2 linked regions of the Oreochromis niloticus genome follow. The protein of the gene in region 1 interacts with the protein of each later gene in a pairwise test. Links are inferred from orthologs where the notes say so. Each region holds a gene or a part of one and is shown on either strand. Other genes may lie near its edges. The genes, in order: fmr1 and pick1.

Evidence for each region.
Region 2: the proteins of fmr1 (region 1) and pick1 interact in a two-hybrid assay, tested with the Homo sapiens proteins (2 studies listed by BioGRID and IntAct). The link is inferred for Oreochromis niloticus from reciprocal best matches to the Homo sapiens genes FMR1 and PICK1.

Annotation. Positions count from the first base shown.
Region 1 is NC_031966.2:33,305,858-33,316,476, reverse strand, and holds the start of fmr1 (fragile X messenger ribonucleoprotein 1), read left to right. Parts: upstream 1-6,026; 5' UTR 6,027-6,426; coding exon 6,427-6,477; intron 6,478-9,376; coding exon 9,377-9,429; intron 9,430-9,518; coding exon 9,519-9,612; intron 9,613-9,967; coding exon 9,968-10,039; intron 10,040-10,594; coding exon 10,595-10,619. Other genes in the region: rab33a (ras-related protein Rab-33A), read left to right, coding at 2,264-2,331.
Region 2 is NC_031969.2:9,656,360-9,667,432, forward strand, and holds the start of pick1 (PRKCA-binding protein), read right to left. Parts: upstream 4,334-11,073; 5' UTR 4,167-4,333; intron 3,935-4,166; exon of another isoform or gene 3,686-3,934; intron 3,679-3,685; 5' UTR 3,646-3,678; coding exon 3,605-3,645; intron 3,386-3,604; coding exon 3,274-3,385; intron 3,060-3,273; coding exon 2,931-3,059; intron 2,403-2,930; exon of another isoform or gene 1,980-2,402; intron 1,855-1,979; coding exon 1,788-1,854; intron 1,656-1,787; coding exon 1,566-1,655; intron 1,496-1,565; coding exon 1,442-1,495; intron 1,320-1,441; coding exon 1,257-1,319; intron 971-1,256; coding exon 837-970; intron 1-836. Other genes in the region: galectin-2, read left to right, coding at 5,085-5,093, 5,235-5,314, 5,534-5,705, 5,933-6,079. UniProt on the Homo sapiens protein: Probable adapter protein that bind to and organize the subcellular localization of a variety of membrane proteins containing some PDZ recognition sequence.

The sequences.
Region 1 (10,619 bases):
TTTCTTATGACGTCAGCGACACAGAGTCTCCACGCAAAGCTTACCCTGAAACCAGCCGTAGCTCGATGTTTTCCAAGGCCATTATTAACCGCAGCAGCTTATTTTACCGGCTGTTTTTTGCTGTCAGAGCTTAATATTTGTCGCATTTCACCCTTGTTGTGATTGCACCATTTCTACCACCTTAAAAGCTAAACAGCTGGCTCTAAATTAGTTTTAATGACCCGCTGAGGCAAAAACAGCAAAGATGTTTTAAGGATTTAAAAAAGCATTTAACAGATTCTTTTTTTTCTGAGAAATATTAGACTTTTATTGTCTCCCCCCCCCCCTCCTTCCATTTATGTTGCCTGATATCAGCCTATCACAAGCCCTCAAATGAAGGACTTAAAATCATTGTGAGATTTAAATGAATGGAGAAGATGACAGATTGCAGGATCTACAGAGGAAGACCTTGACGAGAAGGTTTCCTGCAAACGGGCCATTTATAGGTTGCCGGAGAGCATGTCAGCTATTGATTTAGAAGCTGTGAGATCCTTTTACCCTTATGCAGGTGAAAGGCACTCTCCTACAAAGGGGAGGCAAGGCTCTTGTTTCTCATCCACTCCTCATGTAAATGTATCTTCTCCATGTTGTCCCAGTGGCCTAAGCCAGCTTTGCCACTGGATGTAAATTCAAAAACATCAAGTCTTTAAAATAGCTGCCCGACTCTCTCCTGTTATGCAGCATCAATGTTCTAATAGGTAGTTTTCAAGCTAGAGGCCTTCTAGCTGCCTTAGATGAAGCTTCACTGCCTCCAGTCTCTGAAAATGCAGGAGAGAAAACTGTGAACCCTGTGTAGGTGACGGAGAGGCCTTTGTGCTGCTGAACCCTTAAGCCTGGATTATTCGAGTCACTGGTGAAACTGGCAGCATGAGACACTGTAGAAAGCCATATTTAATATTTCCTGCACACAGAGAGGCAGCTTGCTTTGCACTGAGGAAGCTCCCATGTAGGCTGTGGGTGAAGGAACACACTGTACATAAATCAGTGTTTAAGCAATGAAGCCTCTGTGTCACAAGAAACCATCCAACATCCCGACTGTGGTGTATGTCAGTTTGATATAGTAGCACACTTAGCATATTTTACCACTGTAGCCTACTCTTGTGTGATTCTATTAATGTATCTGGATGCCATATGTAGAAGAATCAGATCAGCGAGCATTTAAGAGCGGCGTTCCCTCCAAGCTGACAGTCTGATGTCCTGATTAAATTATTCACAGGCTGAATCTGAACACTGTGCAAATCCAGAGGGCTTCTGCCTGAGGTGTGCCATGGTTTGGCGATCTTTCATACAGGTTTACGAACGGTGCAAAAGTCTTCAGCCACAAATAGTTATGAAATAGTCCTAGTCATTTCATAGCAATAAAATGGTATTTTTCCGCCACAAGGTGATTCTTAAAGTGCTATTTCGGCATGGTGTGCAGTCTGCCCTTAAAAAAATATGAGGCAAATGGACGAATGGAGGCAGGTCTTAAAAGCTCTACTGCAGATATCTGAAAGTCATTTCCTTAAGAAATAGGCAAAATCAACCAAAGACCCGACACAGGATTTTCAGTTGATCCACCGACTGTTTGCCAAAGCCTCATCAGAAATGGTTTCAGTGGAAAGGCAGATGTCAAGAAGCTTCCTAAAGAAAGGAAACAGGGACTAAAATGTGCCAAATTACACAAAAGCTGTGATAAAAATCAGTAGAGACAGGTCTTATTGACCGATGAATCCAAATGTAACATTTTTGGTGTAACTCATTGTCAGCAGGCACAGCGGAGGCCAGGAGAAATGGGCCCACTGTGCAATACCATCTGGAAAGCTCTGCTTGGCAATTTCATTTTTGAGCATGACAATGATCCAAAACACACTATCAATGCCATAAAATTAGAAATTAGAATTGATTAGAAAAACACACATTCGTGGATTGGCCTCCCAAGAGCCCAGACTTCAACCTTCCTGAAGCAGTGTGGGATCATCTTAGTTAATGTATTTCTGTGTATGTGTGCACCTTTCAAATTGCTACACCCATTTTCCATTTTCCTACCAAAATATAAAGAAATGAGGGCCGGCTCGAGACTTTTGCACAGTTCTAACAGCAGGATCGAACAGAACAGTGAATCAAATGACATTACTGTAAAATATCAGGAAGAGCTCTGTTCATTCTCCTTATATGGGCTAATCTGTGACTTCTTTTGTTTGTTTGTTTATTTGTTTTTAATCTCCATAAATGGCATCCACAGGTGCGCCTCAACCACAGCTGGGGAAACCACTACGTTCAGGACTGATGGAGCGGTATCCCAGGACATAAAATGTAAAAGGAATTGTTCATCCTTTAAATTTTAATACATTAACATCAACAGCTTTGTCCATCAGTGGGTTATTGTAAGAATGCTAATTTAGTCAGTGTCATACAAGTGGGATGACTGAACAAGACTAATGAGCAGAAAAACACTGTGGAAAAAAGAAAAATGTGTCTGCATTTCTGTTAGCAGATTTGAATAAAGCGGCAACTAACATGGTTTCAAATGAATAGAAAAGAAAATGAAGCTATAGTTCAGTTGTTTTCACTGTCATCAACCAAACATATATATCACTGTTTATGAAATTATTCAGCAGTTTATGTCATTTACTAGAAAATGTAACATCGCTTAACAAAAGTTCAGTTTTAACCATTTAAAACTGCAAAATGTGCATTTTTCCAGGTCGAAGAGTTGCAAATATATGCTTGCCTTCTCTTTTCTCTATATCTCCAGTGTGTTTTCTAATATATTTGTACTTTTTTGCAGTTGATTTGTGTCATTTTTAATAACCCATGTTTGCTCTTAAAGGGTTGCCTTGGCATTTTGATATTTAGTCTGGTATTATTGTTTATCTGCAAAACGTCTGTATGTGGAAAATAATAAATATCAAATACACTTTGAAGCATATATCATTCTAAGAACACACAAACGTCGATGAGCAACTTGAACAAGCCAAAATTAAACAAGTTAGACATCACAGTTCATTATTTGATTTACTGTTTTAAGTGAATTAGGTTCTTTTTTTCTTTTTTTTTTAGAAAACATGTTTTTGGTATCTTTAAATCCTTAAGCACGTGTATTAGCTTTAGCATTACAGTCAATGTTCAGATGAATGTGGTCTTTCTTCGCTTAAGAATTAAAGTAAAGTTAGCTGCAGTCCTACAGAGTATCAGGATATTGGTTTTATACATTACCTACTTGCAGTGCTAACACAACTTAGCCCGTGGTAGCTTAAATCAAAGCGCTAGTTTATTTGCTAGCTTATTTGCTAGCTAGCCAGCTCATTATTAGCTAAACTCTCACTAATTTAAAGAACATTTTAACGATTTTTACTCTGTTAAAAATGATAACACCACAATATTTAGGATGTCTCTGGTTTTATACAATAATACAAATTGTTATTTCGCTTTATTATCTAAAACAGTGTTTGTCTTTGGTACTATCTACAGCAGCAGTCCCCAACCTTTTTTTGGGCCGCGGACGGTTGTTTGACAATATTTTCACGGACCGGTCTTTAAGGTGTCACAGATAAATACAACAAAATAAAACCAGTGCCGGTACCAAAAAAAAAGAAGCTTTATTCATAACACACGCAACAAGACCCAGGGAAACTGAGTTAACGATAATAAACGATAAAAACCCTGAAAACCATACATTTCACACCCGAGCCTCAACTCTCGCGGCCGGGTAACAAACAACTCCGCTCCGTGGCCCGGGGGATGGGAACTGCTGATTTACAGCATCTTTGAGTGACACAGGCTCGAATCAGACCTGAGGACTCAAATCCATGTTTCTTCCATCTGTTCTTCTGTCATTCCACACAGTGTGGTGGCTGTAGCCTATCCCATTTGCAATAGGGCAAGAGGAGAGGTACACCCTGGACAGGGCTAATTCAATTTCTTTACACCCACTGGAGCTCAGTGTAAGTTAACAGAAGTCAGCGTTCCTTGTTTGATGACTCTTCAGACTGATGGACGTTGCTGACAGGGATTTGAACGCACTGCGCCCCATTTAATCAATACTATAAAGACTAAAACCCAGAATACTGAATCGCTCTTTTTGAAAAAGCCTGAAGAGTCGTGTTGGCTGATTTTATGGTATTGTAATTTTGTTAGATCCTGTAAATCTGTGGTGACTTTTGTTTTTGCCTGTCAGTTTACTCTGCTTTTGGACTGTGTGTGATTCTCCTCTTCTGTACATATGTTTCATATGTAACACTGTTATTGTTACAATCTCACAAAGAAACTTACGATAAAACTGCTGAAGAAGCATCGCTTGACTCTGAACCTTTTTCGTATCACTGCCCTTGAATTGGTTGCTTTAAAAACAGTGATCAGATATGCAAACACTCGCAGTCAGCTGCAACCTTAGGTGCATCAAGACCATGATGAAAAGGCAATAAGATAGAGTCAGTCTCTTATCAGTCTATTTTCAGTAATAATTTGATGAACTCTCAGCGAGTCCAGTCAGACCTTCATTTTTGAGACCTAAGTTCAAAAATTCATCTGCAAAAAGTGACGTAGTTGCTGCAAGACAGATATTTAAATGCAAAATGACAGGAGTGCTTGGCAGCCATGCTTTTGCACACAAATATAACCAGAATACAACCATGTTAGCTGAGCTGCATCACAGGCAGTTTACAGTCATCAGTCCAAACTGACTCCGACTGATTGCAAAGTGCTGCCAGTCTGTTTCCTTTGCAAGGAAGTTGTCGTCCTATTACTTTGTAGAGTTTAGCTTATGTGCCTGTGCCAACAGCATGGTGTGTTCAGTATTCAGTGTTTCCCTCGCACGCAGAACTCAGAATTTCCCGTCTGTTTATCCGTTCTCTTGCTCTTTGTCCTGTATCTTATTTCACCCTTCATGTATGACCCTGTTTCTGCCGCACTCTCATTCTATTTCTGTCTTAATCTCACTATAGATTATCCCTGTAAGTCACTCTATGGTCCTCTCATATGTCACTGTCAGCACTTCTTCATTTACCTGTCTGTAGTCTGTCTGCATCTTTCCCTTCTTTTTCTCTCCCTCTCTTAACATGTGGCCTGTTGCAGTTCCTTGTTTTTGCCTACAAAGTATAATTCTCAAGAAGGTCATATGTCCATAAATAGATGTAGCAGATGAGTGCTGCTGAGTGTTGAGAGAATGAGAGGTTTATAGAGGAAAAACATGAGGTTTTAACTGATCCTTAACACTGAATCTGCAGGCCTCTGTATTAAAATCTGTACATTTATCCATGCCATGCCTTGCTGTTAAATGTAACAAACGTCTTTAAGCATAAAAAGGCATGTGCCCTGACTTTAAAACATAGTTATTATAGTTATGTTTTCGGTTTCCAGGCAAAACTATTTTGGAGTGGATGACGTGGTTTGGCATGTCAGCTTTCAAGAGACAGTCCTCAGAAACAACAGGCAGTAATGAGTAAGTCTGAGTCTAAATATATATTGTATATTACATTAGATTAGATTCATTAGATATTAGTGGAACATTTAATGAGAACACCTTGGTTGCTGTCCTAGGTTCTGAAATCTCTCATTTTAATGTGTTATTATATTAGATAGATATATAGATACTTTATTGATCCCATGGGGGAAATTATTGTTACAACCTTGTGATAAAGAATAAAAATAGTACCGTGTACAATAAACATCAAATAAACAACACATGAGGAGCCAAAGTTCTTTGCAACAGATTTCAGTAGTTAGTTAAAGATAAGTATTGTGTTTGTGAATGCACATTGTAAAAACAAGTGAGGAAAAAGAGCAAGGTGGAATAGTTGAAATGTGGCTTGATAAATATGGAGAGGGATAAATTTGCTGTTTTCCCGGAGGGACTGGTTGGCCGTGCTGTTGGGAAAATATATTTTTTCATTTGTTCTTAGAGCTCAAATATGGTACACCACAGGATAAACACAGTGGTCATTTTTATTTTGATATATTTCCTGCTATATCAAATGGCATTCCTATTTATTACCCGTGGAGAGCAGCAACAGGCTCGGATGAGAGTAAGCAGCCTCAGTTTTCAGTAGAGGAAGAAAGCGGAGACGTCACATGGAGAGATACAACAGCAGTAGCTGCTACACCACTAATCACACAACATTAACATAACTAGCTACTAAAAGCTAACCTGGCTAGCTAATTGCTTCGTCTTCTTCATGAAGTCGGATTTGCAAATTTGCAAGAAACAAATTTCATAGACGGTGCAAAGCGGAAAACAATATTACGGTCACACACAGCTACTGTGGCCTCTTCTTGCATCCAGTAGGCAGGGTATTTAGGCTAGCTAGCGACTCTGCCTTGGCTAGCGTCAGGCTAGCCAGCTAGCTAGCTAGCTACTAACATCGCTATCGGTAGTTAGCTAGCTAGCGAGCTGTAGTAACTTACGTCATGGAGGAACTAGTCGTGGAAGTAAGAGGGACAAGTGGGGCTTTTTATAAGGTAAGTTGTTGACTTTTGTCGAGTTTTGTGACCACCGTTCACACACTATGTACCAAGTAAGCCTAACTAACATGAATTTGTGTCACGGGGCTAGCTTAGTGTTATATGTGGGCCTCGGTGCTTCTGCTCAACGTCTACCGGGACCTGAAACGTGTAAACAAAGCTAACGCTGCGGTGGGGCTCTAACATCAGCGGTAGTGGATAAATTGGTGAACTATTGGTGATCATGACGCTTAACCAGGGTAGCTGTTTAAGCGGTATCGGTAACGCTGATGTGACTGCTATACGATGGTACCCCTAAAGTGATGTGCAAGGATTGGTTGCAGACTCACAAACATCAGAATCAATCATGGGTTGGCTGTTTTTTGTTTTTTGCTTTGGTCAAAGTAAGTTAATTCAGAGTAGCACACAGGGGTGATGGTTTGGCTAACCTTTATTGTGCCCGTAGCTGCCAGGTGTTTTCTTGTTTTGTCAAGACTGCAGAGATTTTGGGGTCAGTCAACAAGTAGATCATAAATCCGATCCCGTGACCTGCGTGTATCACTGGGGTGGGGTGGGGGAGATAACATAAGCAGTACAATGGGATAACACGCTAATTAGCAATAATTACTTACATTTGAATATTGGTCAATTCAAGGACACAAGAATAAAATGACTTATGGTGAAGGATCTAAATAAAATGATACATTTATTATTTATTTATTGTACAGCTGTCAGGTTTGTTGTGGGATAAATATAGGATGACATGTATCGCAAGTAAAGTTCTGACAGATGTCTTTTTAAAACTAATAGTTTTGTTGTGGCCACATTAATGCGAGGTACATGAATGCTGTGAGTATGCTGTATAATCAGGGTAATTAGTAATTGAAATTAATCTTGATTCAGGCCACAGACCCTCATTAAGCTCAGCGGTTGCCATGTAAATCATAGACTTCTCATGCTGTGTTCAATACTTGTATACTTTCCCAAATCAAGAGGCTTTTCCTTTGAATGTAGGAAAGTTGAAGTTGGCACTGTCAGTTGTACTTTGGCTTTTAGCTAGGTGTGGCACGAGACAGAAACCATTCTTTTAATAGTTGTAATCATATTGTTAGCAAGTACAGAACCATATAAATGGGTGGGTGTGTCCGAATATTTGAATGGTGCTGTAGCTTGAATGATAAGTTTTACTGTCAAACAGCAATGAGAAAAGTTAGGCTAATTATTGTTAGATGGTAGTCTGGTTTGAAAAAATCCAGTCCCACCAGGTAACTCTTAAGAGTACTTTTATTAGCCATACATCTATCATAACCTACATGTATACCACTGTTATATTTAATGTATTTTACTATGTAGATCGATCTAATAAGATGACGTAGGTGTGACTCCTTACAAGTATAAGCAGATACACGACAAGAGGGCGACTTTGGCAGAGGTCTTTCTGTTCATCAGAAAATGCCCAGTGTATTCACAGAGGCTTATTCAGAGTGTTTAAAACTTAGGCAGTTTGTTTTTCTCTTGGCCCAGTATGATGTCACTGAGAGCAAATATCCCTAATATTGTCATCTTAGGTACACAGTTCTGACTGAAACCCCACCCACCTGCTGTTCACACCTTCTGTTTGCCAGGGGCTGGCTGGCAGACAGTTGGCCTAATATGAGTGGAGCTAAAACAGTTTTAAGATGAATTGAGCTGCACCAGCAAGAGATAAATGTGGATTATTTTCAATTGTGAATCATGCAAAGCTAGTGTAGTAGACTGTAGTCGAGTAAAAGGAATAGTGTAATAGGTCCACTTTAAAGGAGACTTATTTACAGAGCAGTTACCTTTGCTAGATGGCAGCATACCTCCAACACAGGGAGTTGGATCTTACTGCAGATCACTTGCATGATTTCAATGTTAATAAGCATTCAAATTTTGGTTAATGAATCAAGAGTTTTGAACGTAATCATTTTAGTTAGTTGTTGTGATGATGTTGATTGACTAAATGTGTAGTTGGCAAATAATTTTTTATAGTGTTTTTAATAATAGTTGAACTGGAAAATGACACCCTTGTCTCTGGCATTATAGCAGAATTTAAAATATGCTCTTGGCTGAAATGAACATATTAAAAATAATGAGTGCATTCATCTGCCAAGTGAGAATAATACTATAGAAATAATTGTAGAAAATGGTTCTGCCATAAATCACTTGAGTGAGAAACTTAATTTTGCTGTTTTTAAATTGCACCTTATGCAGTATAGAAGTCATTGCTCTTTTTTATTGTAATCTCAACAGCAGTACAACAATTGCAGTTTACTGCCAGTAGACTAAACTACATTATCTCCTAATGCACCCTCTGCCTTACCCTCATATTTTGTGTTTTGGTATTTTTCCGGTTTTAACAAGATTAATGTTCTTGCTAAAGTCTGAACTTGGTTCCTGAACTAGACAGTCAGTCAGTCACAATCCTAAACACGCTCACAGGTCAGTGAGGTCCTGTCAGAATTGGTTTATTTGTTTTTTTAACCTTGGGAGTTTTGAGAAGCTCTCTTTCTTGCTTCCTTCTTGCTTCATTTCATCCACCACTGACTGCTAGCTTGCCAGGTTAATGCAACCCATTGGCAAGGCTCTCTAGCGCTCTCTTTTCCTTCTAGGCATCGCATGGCCTACTTGCAGTGTTTGACACACATGACACACACATCAGCTGTGTGTAGAACCAGCGAGAGAGAGAGAGACTGAGCCAAACCTGACTCGAGCCCAAAGCTCAAACTCCAGAAAAGGAAATTATTTAGGTTGTTTCATTCCTAGGAGCATTAGGATAAGGTCAGGCTTAAGCAGTAGAACTGGTTCCTGTTTACATGGTCGATGCCAGTTTGACTTGCGCACTGACTATTTCAAAGATATGTCAAAACTGAATTTACTTCTGTGACTCTTGCAGGCCTTTGTAAAGGATGTTCACGAAGGATCTGTCACGGTAGCATTTGAAAACAAGTGAGTAAAGTAAAATATAACATTGTGTAATATGTCATGTCTTTGGCAAACAATAAAATGAACTTTTTGTGTTTGTTCCTCTGTCCCAGCTGGCAGCCGGAGCGGCAGATCCCATTCCAGGATGTGCGCTTTCCTCCTCCAACAGGGTTCTGCAAGGAGATCAGTGAGAGCGATGAGGTCGAGGTGAGAAAGTGATTGTTGCCGTCAGACATGGTGGGTTTGGAAAGCAAAGTTGGTATAGCTGGGGAGCAGGGTAACTTTGGAATAGCATGGAGCGGAGTGAGTAGAGTTGAATTTTCAGCGTAAAATAAAATTTAAAAAAGAGTGATGCTCCTCACATAGTCTGAGATTATCTGTTCTATCGATGGTAAATTAGTCTGACTTATTATTTTTATCAATAATATTATTCACAATGATTTCCTGTATCAGTGTGTCAGTTGTTTCTGTGCCAGTTTACTCGTATCAGCTTTGTTTAAAGATGGGAATGATTTCTGAAATGAGCTGTGTGTGTGTATGTGTGTGTGTGTGTGTCTGTCAGGTGTATTCTAGGGCGAATGACAAAGAGCCATGTGGATGGTGGTTAGCCAAGGTTCGCATGGTCAAAGGGGAGGTAAGACATGCTCCAGTTCATCTGTAAGGCTCACCAAGCAGCACTGAAGCAACATGACTGTGTTAAATTTGCTTAAAACGCAGCCCAGACACTTGCTCCATTCTAAATGCTTTAATATCACAACATCCTTTATTAATACTAAATACAGCCATGTTTACTGAGCACATTCTACACTCATGAAATGTTATGTACTCATAAAAATCCTTTTTATCAAGCTCACCGCAGATATTTAACTTCAGTGTAACATAATTTCTCTGGTGACGGATGTCAGTGTGTGATTGAGTTTTACAATCCTAAACAACACATTAACTCAATGATTGATTGAATTCAGACTATATGCCCCAGATGTTCTTTATATCCTTGTATTTCCATTTTCCTCTGGATTTTTTGTGCATGTAAGCTCTTCCTCTGTTTGTCCTCCTGTTGTCTCACCACCATCAGATTTACTTTCTTCAAAAAAAATTTTTTAATAATAGTATGACTTATTTAAAATTTTGAAAAAAAAGTGATGTTTTTCTATTGGATCACTCATACTTGATCTGTCTTTGTTTCCAGTTTTATGTAATAGAGTACGCTGCAT
Region 2 (11,073 bases), on another chromosome or scaffold:
GCCCAGTCACTTTCTTTCCAAGTTCCTCAGACTACAATGCCCTGGATGCCCAAGAACCTACTTGAACATAGTTCAGATTCTTCATCACTTTTCTTCACTTCATAGCCTTCTTCCACTTCTGCAGGTGGGTGATGTGCTTTTTCAGAGAAAGGGTAGCATGTGCTCTAAATATTGACAATATTTTCTATATCTTCTAACCCTGGATCTTCCTGAACATTGATTCTTCCTCCTCATTATACTAGAGGACAATATGTGCTTTGTCCTACTGGTCATTGCTTTGCACAACATGGTAAAAAAAAGTATGCTCATCAAAGTATGCAAATCTCTAGTGCAATGGAGGCTTGTGAGCATACTTTCTGTGTATGTATTATTGTAGGGTCTACCTTACAATACGAAGCACTTTGATGCGACTGTTGTTTTGATTTGGCGCAGTATAAATAACATTTTATTGAATATAGAGCACCTGCCTCCTCATTGTGCTGCCTGTTGTTGTTGTTGTTGTGGTTGTTATGACCAGTGCTTGACCCCAAACATCAGTGATCCAAGATCAAAGATGTTTGATAGCAGTATGTTGTGAAAATACGGCCTTTTGCAACACTTTGTACTTTGGGGTCATTTTTGTCCACGAGGACCACAGGTGTTATAAAATCGAATAAAAACCCCATAAATAAATCAAATTACTTAAAACTTATTCCAATCATGCATAGTATAGTAATGAATAACTTCTGTTATTTTCAGACCATTTGATGAATAAAAAACATATTTTTGATAGCAAAAGATTTCTGTAGAGGACAAAAATGACCCGTGGACAACACAAGGGTTAAATCTGTACTTACAGGTTTGATGGTCTTTAGTAGCTGAATGCCGTATTTCTCAATGTTGCGGTGAGCATCAGCAAACTTCACAAAAGCCTCGCTGGCAGCAGCCTGGGGCTCTCGTACCCCGATGACAGAAAACACATCTCCAAATGCTGCAAAGGGACAAAACCAGAAACCTCTCAAATATAGCTACGAGCAAAGATCTGCTAAAGTTAGAAAACAAAAAGTATTAAATACAACTCCACCAGCAAGCAGACATTGTATGAAAACATGACATTTTTATTCATTTTATGGTCATGTTTCAACTAAAAGCTCCACCAAGTTTTAGCCTTTATTGAGGAAAAAAACAACAGCAAACTTCCACTTGGGGTGAGAGTGGATTATTCCACTGGTGTAATACTGTTTTTATCATTTGTGATTTTGGATATAGTGACTGACCTCTGTGGGTTTGAGAAAGCTCAAAAAACGCCCTCAGTAGTCTTTTCGTGTGCTCCATCAGCCCTGCAACGCAAACAGAGAACAACAGGATCTCTGTGGATTAAAAGCTCTCTCATATCTGTGATTATGGAGTTTTCACACTACATGATTAACTTGTTTAGGTAAAGAATCTTATCATTCGTTACCTTTGTACAGCTCTGCCGTTTTCTCCAGCTCTTCCAGTCTTTTGACAAGTCCATCTGCAAAGTACAACGAGTTAAATCTAAGTAGATATGAACAAACCTGCAGTTACCATCCTAGCAGTCTTACCATTGCATAGAATAGCTCTACTGAGTCCAAGAGCATCCGCTGTTCCTGAGCTCAAATTCTCTACAAGTCGATGTTTGACTTTTTTCAGCACTGAAACATATAAAATATCAATGTTTAACACAAACTAACGCAGCAGTGAAAAAGATTTGTTGAGAATCTGAAAGAATGCAGTACACAGCACTGCAGTGCACGCTTCAAAGGAAGTAACATAAACATAAATACCTATGTCCAGAGACTTCCCCTGTTTTGGATCAGCCTGCAGCTTATTGTAGTGGATTACTGCCTCTCCCTGTGAAAATAGGATCAACAGTTAAATAACCCAAATAAATAAATATAAACATGGGATGGTGAAAGGAAGAGCATCTATTGTAGCAGTACTAAATATAAGAAATAGAACTATGTGTTAGCTTTTGTTGAGATTATGCAAGAATGCAGTACAAAGCACTGCTATGCATGCTTCAAAGAAAGTAACATTTCACCTTAGTACATAAGTTAAAATTAATAATGTGCAACATTTATGGTGTTAAGTGTGAAATGTATTTTCAGTGACGGGCAGCAGCAACACCACCTAATCCTTTTAATCCCACACTGAACCCCATCTTTATCCCACCACGCAGGAAGTCATGGAATTTTTTGGGTTGTGAACAAAGGATGCCAAAAACAACAGCGCCACTATTCACCGGTGATGGTACGCCACATGCTACGGGCTATTGTCCCGACCTCTTCAGCACAGCTTAGCAAACCAGTGAAGTCACTCCTACAGTGTCCTGTCTGCAGTGGGAAGGTGGGCTTACACTCATATCTCACTAACTGTTGGACTGTGCTGGACATAAAAAAGTGAGTCATCTTTGAATTCTTTTCAAAATTTCTTTTAAATGACACACAGTGTTTCAACATGCAAGTAAAGCTATGGTTTGGTTCTTTTTTTTATTCATTATGGGGCATTGGTCATCAGAGGTGAGGGTGAGTATGATGAGTCGCTGTCTTTAGGTTTAAAAGATTAAAAACAGGAGTTTAATAATAGAGCTCATGTTAACATCATTATTTCAACAGGGCTGTCATAAGACTTTCACTGCAATGATACTATTATTTTATTCAAAATAATCCATGGAAATAATCATCACATCACAACAACTACCAAAAATCTGAAAAGGCTAATAAAGCTATCAGTCGAATGCATCTTTTTCTTCAGTGTGCATGGAAGTGGTGAGCGTTTTTGTAGCTACAGATGCACAAATGACTGTATTATTATTCTAAACTGTGTGCATTATTATCACACTGGTAATATTCAATGTTAAATAGCAGTTATGGTCAATAGTGTAATGCTGAGTTTTTAATAACCTCCCACTTTCAGAGTCTGTGTACCTGCACAGCTTGAATCATCTTGGCCACCTCCACCTTAGTTTTGCCCTTGACTGCTTTCCCGTTCACACCTGTGATTTCATCACCTGCTGCCAGCGTCCCATCCAAAGCTGCTGGTGTGTTATCAAAGACCTGCAAAGCAACAGCAACCACATTTAAAAAACCGTGACAAAGTACAGTTATTTTTCCTGAAAAAGAGGCGATAAAGCTGCATTTAATGACCCATATGCCAAACAACAGCAAACTGAGACAGATACAGTCTTATAACATTTAAAGCATGATAGAAATATCTGGTTATAGATGACATTTTAATAAATAAAGTCATAATAAATTATTCTGTGTGCACCTGAACAATGTAGAGGCAAGGGCAGTACTGAGCCCCACCACCAATGCTGATGCCTATAAGATTATTAGCATCTTTCTTCAGAGTCACAGTCCCAGGCACTGTTGGTATCCCCCTGTTAAGAGAGAAAAAAAAACACTAAATTGAGTTTTGAAGCATTTTGTTCAGCTTATTCTGGGACATTCTGTAATGAGGGAACTGTATCACAGTTTATATCAAGACATTCACCCTATCAGTTACTGTTTTAGATGTTTAATAATGTTTTATGTTTATAATGTATGAGAAGCATATGTGATTCGCCTGGATGGGTAGAGAAAGCTCATTAATGACTCACAGTTTGTCCTCCTCCAATTCATAGTCCATATCTGTGAACATTGCAGGACAGCGTCACTCCTGTCCCTCAGAAACCTGCGACAGAGTACAATAAAACAGAAATCAAAGGAAGTTTTAACTGGATCTAGTGATCAGAAAACCCAAGAAACGCTCATTAAAAGAGTGACAATCAGAACACGTTTAAGAGTTTGAGCTACCGGCGAATTTGAAAGTAGTCTATAATCAGATGGACTATCGACAATCACCAAAATTGGCAGCTTTGCTTTCCTGATGCGGCAAATTTAATCGCTGTGGAGTCAGTGAGGAAACGCTGGAGCAGAGCAAACAGCTGGTAACCCGCAGTGCATGCTAACATCCTAACAACAACCATTTAAATACGTTTTAATTAATGTAACTGTTGCACTTAATATATCTGCATGCACACACAAACCAGTCACTGTTAGATTTCATTACAGTGACCGAGGTCAGTAAGTTGGATTATTAGCTGCTAGCCTGTAGGCTAATAGCAGGTGTATTTAGCTAATGTTGTCCCCTGAAACGTCAGCAGGCCATTAACAATTTACCTTTCTTAGACGTCGCACAGAGTCGTCATAAAGATATTCTTTAGTGTGCATAAAATCAAAATATCTTTTGTTGAATCGCCCTTTTTATTCGCAATTATCTCAACTTCTCGATCTAAAGACAGCTTCTATTTACTTTATTTTGTCACTTCCGGCAGGATGACGGAAGTTGTTGTTAAGACGTATTACCAAAGGAAGGACTGGATGATCATTTTCTAGTTTTGTCTTAGAGTCTATAATTCCATATTCCTCAGTGTAAATGATACAGATTATTTCTTTTAAACTTCTCATCAGCTCATATGAAAACACTGTCATTGTATTTTCCAGATTTAATCAAAGTCCTTCCAGGATTCACTTGTTTCTAACTTAGACTACGCGTTTTACTGCCATCCTGTGGTTAGAGTGTCAACCTGCACCTGCATGAAATTTGTCAAATATAATATTATTACAGACTGTTTTTGATGGGAAAAGGGATGTAGATTTGACTAATGATCTTGTTTGTAGAAATTTTATTTGTGAAGCATACAAATACAATTGTTGCAAAATAGACTTATTGCATGGGTATGGTACACTAGTATAGATTATTTTGTTCTAGAGTCATCTGCAGTATATTGAAGGCCCTTATTAATGTGCAAAATGAATTCCAATGAAAAATAGAAAAAGCACATTAATTTGTTCATTTACTAATTTGCTGTTACAGGTGATTAAACAGAGTAGTGCTTGTACTGAATATAGTATTTGGCAAAGATGATGATGATGTTGAATGAGTCAGTGTTAAAAGAGAATCTTACTTAAACTCATGTCTTGCATCATAAATAAACTAGAATTCACAGTTACCCCATTTACCTTTTTTTCTCCCAGCACAGTAGACTGTACCTCTGTTGAAACTCCATCATCCAGGACTGTTCACCAGCAACCAGTATGAGTATGGTAAGCTTAGGTTTGTGTATGCCACTACATGTCAGCAAATTAACTACATTTTACCCTTTAATAAATTATTTGCAAAACTGAAAATGCAAAGTTATTTCATTCTCAAGACTTCTTCAGGTTATATTCTAACCATGTGTTCAGGAACTCGAACTGAAGAATGTGGATTTGAGAGCTGGAGATGAGCTGAAAATAAAAGGGGTAATTCTGCATGATGCAGAGAGGTAAGCTAACAAAACTCATTTATTTTTTCCATACAGTAACCATATAAATTGAATGAAAGCTACATATGCTGTTAATCCTGCAGTAGGAAAATCTAATCTAGCACAAAGTGGACTTTTACAAATTATATTATATTTTGTACTCCACTGTGTGATCTATGTGTTCAAAGCTCTGCAAGCCATTGATATTAAAATCAAGTTTGTACAACGTCTGATCAACAGATTCCAGATTGATCTCGGCTGTGATGCAGATGACCTGGCACTGCACTTCAATCCTCGGTTCCATGATGACACTGATGGTGCTGTGCTGGTGTGCAACTCAAAGATTGCTGGTTGCTGGGGCGATGAAAAACGGGAAATTCACAACCCCCTACAGAGGGGTGCTGATGTCAAGGTGAGGGAATGTGATCGAAGTAAATGATGATGTACTGAGTGTCTGAGTATTAAAAATATCACAAAGGTTTTTGATTGGATCAAATGGATATTTGATTTACCCACATAAAACACAAAAAACACACTAATACTCTTGCAGATATTAAGCTGGGCGATGCAAGTTGGGTTGCAATTGATTGTGTCTTGGAAAAAATGTTTACTTATGAATTAATTTTTCTTCTGTTTCAGATTGTGTTGAAGCTGGCTGAAGACATGTTTGAGGTGGAACTTCCTGATGGACAGGAAGTCCAGTTTCCAAATCGTGTTGGTATGGGTACCATCAGCTACATCAGAGTCACGGGGGACTTCAAACTGAAATCCTTTAAGATCTGCTAAGAGATACAACTGTAGTAAACAGATGCTGTGTTTAACACTTTAGTTATAGATGAGGTTTGACTGTCTGAATGTTATTCTTACAATAACAGTCAGTTATTGACTGAAGAATCATTAAGAGATAAAGAGAAATTAATACATTTAAGTGATTTAAAATGTCCTGTTGTGCAAAAATGATATAAAATGTTTACAGTCAAATAATCATGTTTTGTCATCTTTAAGGTTTTGCAGCCTCTCACAAACACAGTATAAGTCGAGGCATGAAAGAGTAAAAGTATGATACAGAACAATAGAAGAAAATGCAAATATATTAGTTCTTTGCTAAATCCAATGACTGATTATTTATAGTTATGTAAACATGCAGATAAAACATGCAGAGAAAAATGGCTCCAAATGATACAAAATGCATGTGGGGCACGAGGGTTCCTGGTTAACACTTTTCTTTGTGGAGTTTGTATGTTACTTGTGCCTCCATAGGTTTCCAGTTTCCTTTGAAATGCATGTTAGGTTAACTGGTGATTTGGTGTACAGGACTGCACAGAGTCCAGTGGAAACTTTCTTTTTCACATGACTTTCATAGCTCTAGTCTGGTCTCTCAAACAGCTCAGAGTGCTTTAGACTCCCTTATTGTTTCAATAGAAATCAGGAGAGTAAGTAGCTGCTCAGTTGGCATATTAAGTGTTGAAGTTCATGACAGTTCAATTAAAAAAAAAAAAAAGATTAAAAGTATAGCGTGCTTGGAATGGTGGTCAGTGAAAGCTTCTTCTACATGGCAACACAGCTTAAGTTAGGAAAGTTTGATGTAAATAAACCACAAGACTTTTAGAACAATTTGAATTAGACAGAAAAGACCAAAGATTTTTGGCCGTAATGCACAACACAATTGGTGAAAACCAAACTTGCCACAGGACCTGGGCACCTTGCAGTCTTTGAGTCACATTATAATTCTGATCATTTAACAGTACATATCCATATAGTTATATATATGTATAAAAACATATCTCATACTTGTGAGACTTCAGAGGTGTAAACATCACAGCAGATGCCTTTGAGTCAAAGTAACTGAGAATAAAACTGAAAAATATGAAGGAGATTTTCCTGGCCTGGCTTTTAATAGCAGATAACCTTAAAAATATTCTGCAGTGGAACAAAAACTGAAGAAAACCATGACTCAACAAATGACCATTACCTGATGCTGCTGAAGTGAAGCACAGCGTCTTTTTGTAGAATCCTTTTACCTGCTCTCATTTGCCGTTTTAGCTGGGTTTTTTTTAAAATTGTTTGTGAGCTTACACCTGATATTTTGGCATTTCTGGCAAAATACACTTATATTTAAAAATCCATTGAGGATTTAATTAATTGATTTCACATTATTCAAACTAAGATTTGGATCAGAAAATCGATAGTTTTTTTTAAAAATTCACTCCTATATATTAGGTAGAAAGTGAATTATTCATCCTCAAATTGATGTGTTAGAAGCAGGAAAAATGTGTAATAGTAAGGATTTGAGTAAGTTTGACAAGGAACAAATTGTGATGGGTAGACGACTGAGTCACAGCATCTCTAAAAGTACAGCTCTTTTGGGGCGTCCCTGGTCTGCATTTGTCAGTATCTATCAAATGTTGTCCAAGAAAGAAACAGTGATGAATCAGTAACAGGGTCATGGGGACCCAAGTCTCATTGGCTGGCTTGTGTATTTCGAGATGAGCTACTTTAAAGCAGATTATCAAAAAAAAAGTTCATGGTGGTTCTGACAGAAAGGTGTCAGAATACACATAACAGTTTGGTGCATATAGGGCTGCATGGCCACAGACCACTCAGGGTGCCCATGCTGACCCCTGTCCAACACAGCACCAGAACTGGACCACAGAAGAATGGAAGAGGGTGGCCTGGTCTCATCAATCAGGTTCTCGTTTACATCACCTGGAGGACCGGGTGAGTTTGCATTGCTTAACTGGGCAACACCTGGTACCAGGATGCACTATTGGAAGAAGGCAAGCTGGCGGAGGCAGTGTGATGCTTTGGGAAATGTTCTGCCGGGAAGCTTTAGATCCTGCCATCCATGCGGACTTTACTTTGACATGTACTGCCTACCTAAGCACTGTTATGGACCATGAACATCCTTTCATGGAAACAGTACTCCCTGATGGCTTTGGCCTCTTTCATCACAATAATGTGCCCTGCCACAAAACAGAAATGGCTCAGGAATAGCATGAGGAGCACAGTTTGATCCTTGATCCATCCACAGAATGATCCAATTTGATCCATAGTTTGATCCAGAGGCAGGGTTAACTATGGTGTCTATTTTAAATGGTCCAATGAAATTTGGTTTGTTAGACTCAGTTTGTGAGAGAATATTTTTAGAGGGAAAAAAAACCTTTTGACCTGCAGCATAGACGGTCCAACAACGATCTGTCACCTGCTTATTCTGTTCTGCTGTTTGCAGCAAGGCTGTTTTCATGTACTTCCACAGATGCCAACAGCAATGAAGATGGAGTGGGATTGATCGAACAGGCAATTAAGGCTAAAAAAGATCAGCAGTTTACCCTAGATAGGCTTTGAATGAACACAACCTGGTGGAAGAGGAGGTTAGGGAATTATGGGCATATTTGACCCAGGTGACCTCCAGGTGGAACTGAAAATATTAACACTAATAAACAGTAAAATACTTGTGCTAAACTAAAAACGCTCATTCATTCTCAAGTCTTCTTCTCATTCTAATAATGTATTTCTCAGCAACTTGAGCTGAATAATGTGGATCTGAGAGCTTGAGCGGAGTAGAAAATAAAAGGGGTTATTTTGAAGGATGCAGAGAGATCCATTGTAAAGATTGTTCATTCCTTGCTCATATCCCTCAACCTCTGGATGCGTTTGGTTGACTTTTAAGTTTTTTAGTTTGTGTCATCTGGTTTATTTTTAACACTTTCAAGCAAAGCTAGAAGCTAGCATAACGTCAGGTTATATTTTTAAGCAGTTTAAAGATATATATTTAAATGAAAAGACTAAATGTCTTTTCCTTCTTTAAAAAAGGGAACATTCTTCATTTTAATGGGCTAATTCTGGCAAATTGTACACTTTAGCATCAACCATCCTCTGCAGAGCAACCCCTGAACCATGAAAAAACTCTCTTTAACTAAATATTGCTGTAGATGTTGTGTATCTTGTAACATGGGTATGGTGGGTTTTTTTAGTTTTTGAGTTGAGTTTTTTGAGTGGTTGTGGTGAAGTGCATGCCTGTTTTTACAAGATATTCACACAGGAATATCTATTCTGAAGAAGGTCTGTTAATAGACCTCTCTGCATTGAATCATACCCGTTATTAATCTCTGGCTCTCTTCCACAGCATGTTTTTTATCCTGTCTTCCTTCTCTCACCTCAAACGATCGCAGCAGATGGCCCCGCCCCTCCCTGAGTCTGGTTCTGCTGGAAGTTTCTTCCTGTTAAAAGAGTTTTTCCTTCCCACTGTTGTCAAAGTGCTTGCTCATAGGTGGTCATATGATTGCTGTTTTTTCTGTATGTATTATTGTAGGGTCTACCTTACAATATAAAGCACCTTGAGGCAACTGTTGTTGTGATTTGGCGCTGTAACTACTAAGGTGTTTTTGTTATGTTAAAATTGGTTTCTTACTTTAAATAAGTTACCTTTTGTCTCCCAAGAAGAAAGATGGTAGCTGTGTTTAAACAGTTTCCTCCCATGTATTCAATTATCTGTAGGACTGTTTGGTAAGTTTAGTTTGTGCATATACTGTATATATGATACTGTGCAAAACTCAAATGGTCTTTGTAATTTATTTTACTTTTGGAAATGTTTTTTGGAAAGTGATTGGTTTATTAACTTCTGGACCCTCTCATTAATCAAGGAGGGTTGTAGGAAAAATGATTTTTGTTTGCCAAATGTCAGATGGGACGATGAGAGGGTTTAAAATGATTTTTTGAGCACTTTTTGAACTTGTTAAAGCAGATTAAATTAACTTTCATTTAATTTTAAGTTGTAAGAAATTATTTGGTTGATTTTTGTTTATATTTCTCTACGAAATAAATGCCATATAATTTTTAACAATGAAGTCAGAATTGCGTTCTAAAACAAACCTCCCGCTGCCACCCATGGCCTTTTCTTGGACTATTTTTTGTGTTTGGAACTTAAAAGGCCGTAACAGTCTTGTTTTATTATCTTTAAAGGGTTGCAGCCTAATCTGTATCAGTAAAGCTGTGTGAGAGAACAACAATCAAATATATCAGGGATGGGCCGCTCCAGGCCTCGAGAGCCAGTGTCCTGCAGGTTATAGATGTGTCCTTGATCCATCACAGCTGATTCAAATGGCTAAATTACCTCCTCAACATTTCTTGAAATTCTCCAGAGGCCTGATAATGAACTAATGGTTTGGGTGTTTTGACCGAGGGTGTTATCTAAAACCTGCAGAACACTGGCTCTTGAGGCCTGGAGTTGGCCACCCCTGATATATTTGATTGGACTTGTTCTCTCACACAGCTTTACTGATACAGATTAGGCTGCAACCCTTCAAAGACAATAAAACAAGACTGTTACGGCCTTTTAAGTTCCAAACACAAAAAATAGTCAAAAAAAAAAATAGTCCTGGAGTTGGCCACCCCTGAAATATATCATATATCAGTCAAATCAATAAAGCCATCTAGCATTGGAATCCTACTGAATTATGTTGTGGAAATTTTAAATAAAACCTGCAAACACCTCAGTGAGCATGATTTGAAGTGAGTTTAATAACATTGCAATATGGAGAGACTCTGGTCAATCACCTAAGCAGTCTCTGAAAATGGGCGCGGTTGCTCATGTCTTATATGCCTTAACCAAACTCAGAGACAAAGAAAATTTCTCAACACATCAGGTGAGTCTATACCTTCAGCTCATCCTTGAAACCCTTCTCTTCAGAGAGAGAATTACGACATTGTTTTCTGCTTAGCCGTCACCCATTTGTAGTGCACATGCATACAACTGGTGGCATAGTGAGTCTTTTTTTTTT